2 linked regions of the Rattus norvegicus genome follow. The protein of the gene in region 2 interacts with the protein of the main gene of each other region in a pairwise test. Links are inferred from orthologs where the notes say so. Each region holds a gene or a part of one and is shown on either strand. Other genes may lie near its edges.

The links.
Region 1: the proteins of Cep70 (region 2) and Trim29 interact in binary tests that used the Homo sapiens proteins (3 or more experiments, as listed by UniProt). The two-hybrid records come from large-scale screens. The link is inferred for Rattus norvegicus from reciprocal best matches to the Homo sapiens genes CEP70 and TRIM29.

The regions. Positions count from the first base shown.
Region 1 is NC_086026.1:52,577,796-52,581,974, reverse strand, and holds the start of Trim29 (tripartite motif-containing protein 29), read right to left. Parts: upstream 2,801-4,179; 5' UTR 2,683-2,800; coding exon 1,879-2,682; intron 1-1,878.
Region 2 is NC_086026.1:108,738,207-108,741,706, forward strand, and holds part of Cep70 (centrosomal protein of 70 kDa), read left to right. Parts: intron 1-1,648; coding exon 1,649-1,763; intron 1,764-2,395; coding exon 2,396-2,475; intron 2,476-3,500.

The sequences.
Region 1 (4,179 bases), about 56 Mb from region 2:
GGCTCCAGACTGGGCTGCCCACACCTTCCTGCCCTCTGGAAGCGGCCCTTCCACAGACACTCACAGTGGAGCCATAGTTTGCCCAGAAAAGAGACCAGTGTACGCCAGGCTTTCAGTGGAAGTAGGACCCGAAACCTTTGCTTTCTGTGCCCACTTTGTCCCCCTTCTCACCCCAGAGTCCTCAGAGACTTTTCTAAAACTCCTGGGGCTTCACAGAGAAATGTGAAAACAGTCCAGACCACTGGTCCTCAACCTTCCTAATGTTGTGACCCTTTAATACAGTTCCTCACATTGTTGGGGGGTCACCCCAACCACAAAATTATTTTCATTGATGCTTCATAACTGTAATTTTGCTACGGCTATGAACCATAATGTAAATAGTTTTGAAGACAGAGAATTGCCAACGGGATCTGACCCACAGGTTGAGAACCCCTGGTCTAGCCCATCCTTCGGTGTCACATGGGGGGAACTTAGTCGCTGTCTTAGAGCTCGTGACTGGCAACCTGCTAATACAGGTCTAAGGCTGGCTCCTAGTCCCCTTCCTTCTGTTCTGAATTCCCAAGCACAGTCCCTAAGAATGGGCTTCACGTTCCCTCTCTCTGTCTCCCATCCTAAAGCTTTTTTAAAAGCTGGCCTGGAACCAAAGAACCCTGGTGACAGAGGACACTGGGGTCAGGGACAGGAGAAGCTGAAGGTACCTTTGGGAGCCAAATGAAGCTTTTAGAGAGGATGTCTGAGTCTGCTCCTACCTGTGACTCAGAACCTGCTGCCCAAGGGTAGGGACAAGAGGCACAGAGTGAGTGACCAGCAAGCCTGTGGTGATGAAGCTGGGTAAGGAGGGGTCCCTTGGGGGTACAAAAGCTGACAAGAAAGTAAAACCCCTGCACTGGCCACCAGGAAGGTTTGCCCCTGGAGAGGCCAGCCACATGCTGCTGGGTGAGTGAGCTCAGGAAGGGACAAGGCCAGCGGCCACAGCTGGGCCTTAACCCAGAACACCTTCCCCAGGTGTACCATATCCACAAGTCTCCACTTGCCTCTGCTCCTCCCCGGGGATGTGCCTGCCGCCTAATCACTCACAGGGAATTCACACAAACACACTGACATAAATACGAGCAGACACCCACATTCGCAGACACCCGCGTGCGTATAAAACACACATTTACATCCACCCACCCACAAATGCTCTCACTCCAATGCTGTCCACCCTCAGGCACAGACCTGTTGGCTGGAGCCACAAAAACAAAGGGCGCAGGGCCCGACTGAGAGCAGAGTAAGCAATGGAGATGGGGGTGGTGGGGATGACGGGAGTGGCTTCCAGATTAGGGCAGAGCAAGCAGCTGCTGGACTGCAAATCCAAACCTGAAACTAGCAAAAAGGGTCCTCAGAAGCCCTCAAGTCCCCTCTTAGTGTCTCCTCCCTGCCTTAGTTATTACATGTGAGGACAGAGAAAGAAAGAGAGAGACAGAGATAGACAGAGAGAGACACAGAGACAGACAGACAGAGACACAGAGACAGACAGAGACACAGAGACAGACAGAAACAGAGACAGAGTCAGAAACAGAGAGTCAGAAACAGATGGAGAGACGGACAGAGACAGATCAGCCAAGCAGAGTCCAGAAGAGTTCCGAATCCTTCAGTTTTACATTCTGGCCTGACCTAAGATTCACCACGTGAGCTTAGCCTAGCGTCTAATCTGTTTGCTAGGGGATGACCTCTCATAAGATCGTTGGAAGTTAGAGAATGACCTCTGAGCCCCTGGCGGAGGTGAAGAGGAGGAAGAACTGTCTTCTAAAAGCAGAGCACCGTGAAGACTTAAGTCCCCAGTGAGGGTCAAGGTGGGAAGGGTAAGGGAAGGCAGCGAGGGGACTAGGAAGTCACCTCTTTCTCGGCCTTGGCCTCCTCCACCGTCACAGTGCTATGGTTCTTGTGCTCCTGGAACATACAGAGATAGCAGATGCAGGTCTGGTCGGTCTGGCAGAAGAGCTCCATGGTCTTGCCGTGCAGGGGACATTTTCGGGCCTCGAAATCCCGGATGGGCTCGAGTAACTGATGGTCACGGAAGGCAGCGCCCTCCAGGTGGGGCTTCAGATGCAGGTCACAGAAGGAAGCCTGGCACACCAGGCAGGACTTGACAGCCTTCTGCTTGTTGCCGATGCAGGAGTCGCACAGCACCTCCTCAGAGCCCGACTTAGACCGCAGCAGGAGGCTGGAGTCAGCTCTGGGGTAGCTGTTCCTGCGGGCCTCCCCCGGCTCCACGATAGTCACCGTGGGTTTGCGGGGCTCGGAGAAGATGGACTTTCGCAGCTCCCCCTTCTCAGCAAAGGTCACAGGAGGTTTCTTGGAAGCCCCCAACTGGAGCCCCGCATAAGGGGACCTCCTGCCTTCCGCAGAGTCCATGCTGAAGTAACTGGAGCCTTTGTCGTCTACTGACTCCACGAATTGAATAATAGGCCTGCGCCACTCGTTGCTGGAAAATAGGCCACTCTTCCCCTCCCCTGACTTCAGGGCACTGCCCAGGGTCTTGCCCTCTGTCACCTCCCCACTGTGCCCGTTGGTTGTCTTGGTGTCCTTACTGTCTGCTTTAGTGCCATTCTCTAGGCTGCCGTTGGGACCCGGTGGGCTGCGAGCGTCCCTGGCTTCCGGGCTGGCCCCATTGCTCCTGGAGGCATCGGCACCTTCCATGGCAGGTCACTTGCTAGCCTGTTTCTGCTGGTTGGGGTCTTGTGGCTGGTGACTTCAGTGGGTGTCTCAGGCACGGAGTGGGGCTAGCAGCAAGAGCCCAGGGACACACCTGTGGGAGAGGTGGGGCAGGAGGAGGAGCCATAGGCGGAGCACAGGCGGGGCAGAGTAGCTAATTACCTGGGCCACGCCTGCACATTCATCCCTAGCCCGGGATTTTAAAGAAATGTGGTTTTTTTTCTCTCTCTCGTGTCTTTTTTCTCTCTCTCTCCCAGTTTTATTACTTCCCACCACTGACAACCAGTTAGGCTGCTTCCGTCAGATGCACTTCAGGCAGAAAGGCAGAGCCTCTGTCTTCACAGGTGGGCAGGCTTTGAGGAGGTCAGTGCCCCTGGGGCCAGAAGGTGAGGTGTCCACAGAGGTCCACGGGACAGAAAGCTTCTTAATTGGGTCACACAAGCCAAATCGCCTTGTAATTTGCGGGCTGGATATCAAAAGCACGTCTCCACCCTAGGACAGCACATTCTGAGGAAAGCTGTGGCCCGGGTCTTGTTTGCACAACTGATTCTAACCAATTTGCAGCTGATGCCTTAGGTATTTTGCATGTCTGAGCTTATTTAAGCCTCCCTACAATCCTCAGTCTGGCGCTCTCAAGGCCCTCGCTTGCGCTCGCGCTCTCTCTCTCTCTCTCTCTCTCTCTCTCTCTCCCTCACTCCCTCCCTCCGTTCCACCCTCCTCCTCCCCCTCTCTCCCCCAAGGTGTGTGTGTGTGTGTGTGTGTGTGTGTGTGTGTGTGTGTGTGTATACTCATGCTTGTGCACGTGTCTGTCTATCTGTCCAACATATTCCTCAATTGCTTATCCCTTTTTTTTTTTTTTGAGGCAAAAGCTCTTGCTGAAACTGGAGCTGACCATTGGATCTGCCTGTCTTTCTTGGCAGTAGGACTACAGGCACTGGATACCACATCTAGTGTTTACCTGGTGCGAGAGATTGAGCCAGGTCTTCATGCTTGTCCAGCGAACATTTCACCCACTATGTCGTTTTGGATGTTATTCCAGAGGGCCCGGCCAAGAGAAGGTGTGTGGGTCTTTTCTGAGTCATACCAAAAACCAACTATAGAGAGAGGGAAGAATCAAGTGTCTGGTCTCTGGGGACCATTGCCACTGGAGTCCCTAACTGTGCCTTCTGACAGAGATAGAACTTAGGCACTAAGAGGACACTGGTTTCAGCCCATTACAGGGCTGGGACCATAGTCTGGGCCTTTTGAGGTTGTGAAGTCTTCCCTTCTATCCCTAGTTCTTAGAGCCACCTGTGCCCATGGCCCTAAGAAAGTGTACATGCAGGCCTTAGGTATCCCCTCAGAACAGATCAGAACCTGTTTGGGGCCTTTGGGCCAGAAACACAGCAATGAAAGGAATCTGAGCAATGACAGCCAGGTGTGGGGTCCCCAGAGACCAGACACTTGACTCTTCCCTTTCTCCATAGTAGGTGTTCCGGTATG
Region 2 (3,500 bases):
GCTCTGAAAAAAAGAACCAAAAAAAAAAAAAAAAAAGAAAAAAAAAAGAATTATTCCTAATAAAGTAACAAAAAATAGGTTTGGGTTTTGGGTTGTTTGGGGTTTAGGGTTATTCTGGGTTTTGGGTTGTCTGGGTGTTTGGGTTTGGATTTAGAAGTTTGGAGGGGGAATTTGAGTTTGGAGGTTTGGGGTTGGGTTTGGGTTGGGTTGAGTTCGGTTGTGTTTGGTTTGGTGACAATGTTGCTTTGCTCTCACTCCAGCCAAAGCTGGCCTTCACCGCCTAGTCTTTGTCTTTCACCTTCCAAGTGCTCAGATTGCTTGTGGGTACCAGCAGACCTCACAGAACTCCTATTAATTACATACGCATCAATAAACAGAACCAGGGGAAGGGCTATAGCTTAGTTGGTAGATGCTTGCCTAACATGGATGAACTCTGGGTTTGATTCTCAGCACTAAAAAAACAGGGCATTGGCGGTATAGAGTCCAAGGTATGGTCTGTAGAGTCCAAGGTATGGTCCATAGAGTCCAAGGTATGTTCCATAGAGTCCAAGGTATGTTCCATAGAGTCCAAGGTATGGTCCATAGAGTCCAAGGTATGGTCCATAGAGTCCAAGGTATGGTCTATAGAGTCCAAGGTATGGTCTATAGAGTCCAAGGTATGGTCTATAGGGTCCAAGGTATGGTCTATAGGGTCCAAGGTATGATCCATAGAGTCCAAGGTATGGTCTATAGAGTCCAAGGTATGGTCCGTAGGGTCCAAGGTATGGTCCATAGAGTCCAAGGTATGGTCCATAGAGTCCAAGGTATGGTCCATAGAGTCCAAGGTATGATCCATAGAGTCCAAGGTATGGTCTATAGAGTCCAAGGTGTACACATACTCAGGAGATGGAGGCAGGAGGGTTATAAGTTCAAGATCACAGACTGTAGAGTTGCCTCACGGGTTAAGGAGCCCTTGCTGTGAAATTGTAAGGACTGGAGTTCATATCCCAGCACCCTTATAGTAATGCAGACATGCCCCAAGTCTCTGTAACTCCAGATCCAATCACTCTTCTGGTTTCCATGTGTGCAAAAGCACTTGTGCACACATATATACATGTACACACTCATATACACTTGCAAATAAATCCTTTTTTTAAAGATCAGTTCAGGATCATTTTTTGAGACATAACAACTTCCAGGCCAGCCTAGGATTCATGAGACCCTGCTTAAGACTACCACTCCCAGGGCTCTGTGGCCAGAACACTTTCTCTGTAATCATGAGTACCAGAGTTATGATCCCAAGCTGGATATCTTTACCCAATACAAATACCTTTACCTAGCTCTGAGGAGAATGGAGACAGAATTGTTGAGCCTAGCCAAGAAAATGTGAGCTCCAGGCTCAAGGAGATAGTGTGCCTTAAAGAAATGGCGAAGGGTGATAGAGGAAAGGACACCCATGCTCCTGGCCTCTGTTGTTTCAGAGTTCACATACCACAAACATGCGTGCACACTCACAGACACACAAGCATGTAAACTAATAAAAATAAATCTTAATCCTCGCTGCCACAAAAGTAAAATGAGTATAATTGGAGCAGGGAATGTTAGATGAGTGTAATGATTTTGGGAATTCTTTAAAAATGTATCTTGTGCTTTCATTCCTCTTTTGCAGACAGTTCATCGTCATTGTGTATGGTGGTCAGCACCGTTGGGAAGTTGTGTAAGATGATTAATGAAGATGTCAGTGAGCAGATTAAACGAGTGTTAGGACCTGAAGACCTACAAAGGTATCTGTTAGCAGTGCGTCGGGAATGCATGAAGTGGTGAAAAGTAAGGGCCCCAAAGCTGTCCAAGTCACTTACCTTCCGTTTGCAGTGGCAGGGCCCTCAGGGCAAGTTATACATGGAGAAATTAAGTTTTTACAACCAACTCTTGAGTTGTATTATAACCTATCAGTTATTTCTAGGACACTACCAAAACTACTTAATAATTACTAGTTATATATATTTTTTGTTTAGAAGAGAAATATTAAGAATTTTTAAAAAACTGGGCACCACTAATATAGAACCTGATATTTTAAAAAGTACATAATGGGAATGTGTGTGTGTGTGTGTATTGTGTGTTTATATGTATAAGTATATATATAAACATATAAGTCATATATATATATATATATACACACACACATACACACATGTGTCATCTATATATTCTGCATGTTTTCCAGTAAAAACCCTTATACAATCTGGCAGTTGGGTTTTTCGCATTTAATTTTTTTTCACTCTTGGTCTCTCCCGTCCTTCCATTGTTTTATTGACCACTGGTACTTAATGTTCAATTGCATACTGAGTAGAGAAGTCTGTTTTTAGCAAATGTTCTAAAGATGATGTTTTTTATAAACTATGTTTGTTTTAAACAGCATTATCAACAAATTGGAAGAGCATGAGGAATTTTTTCCAGCATTTCAGGCTTTTACTAATGATCTTCTTGAAATCTTAGGTGAGATGTCTGTTGATGGTGGCCGACTCTTTCTTGGAAGGTGTTGCTGGACTTGAGAGAAGGGTGTTCCTTAGACACTGGGTTCATGTCTGTCTTTAGGTCTTTGGGAAATATTAACTGCTTTGCAGGAAGACTTGGTTAGGATTAATTCATAGAATAGAAACAGCCTGTAAGGAGACAAGAACTATCCTCTTTCCTTTTTAAAGATGTGTGTGTGTATGTGTGTGTGTGTGTGTGTGTGTGTGTGTGTGTGTGTGTATGGTACTTGCCTGTATGTATGTGTGGGCACAGTGTGCAGTCAGGTGCTAGAAGGGGTGGCCTGATCCCCTGGGTCTAGATTATACTCAGTTAGCTATTGTTGGTGCTGGGAGCTGACCCCAGGTCCTCATAAGAGCACCAGGTGCTTTTAACTGTGTGTCATCTCTTCAGCCCACTGGGACTATCTTATTTTGAAAACTTCTCATGAGAAATGGCATTATTCTGTAAGACTCTCAGTTCTATCAGTGTTTATAAAAACATGACCAAGCAAAATAAGCTAAAAAAAAAAAATGTAGACCCCGCTGCTTAGAGCCTTCCAATAGGGTTGGTATCTGGCTAAGGGAAATTAACTTGCTTCCTCAGAGAACAAGAACTTTAGAAAGTGAACCCTGGCTTGGCATCACTGAAATCTGATGTCTTAGAAGGAAACTCAATCTCAGAAACAACCTGAACTGCTTTGTCCAGAAATCCCAACCAGGATAAGCTGCGTCCCTGAGGCCTGTTCTGAGGTGTCATACACCTCTTACTTGACAAATCTCCCCAAAGAAGGGCTGAGAATACTCCGATGAGACTAAAAGAATCAAGAAGGAGCACTGTACTCATTAAGGAGAAATCAATTCCTAAATCCTCAGGTGGAGACCCAGAAATGCATGTCTTGGATGCATGTTGGGAACTATGGTGCTTACGCGTTCACTGTACAGAGATTTAAAGAGAGGTCAAGGTATCAAACAGCCAACTGGACGTGTTAATAAGTCTGAGTCTGATAA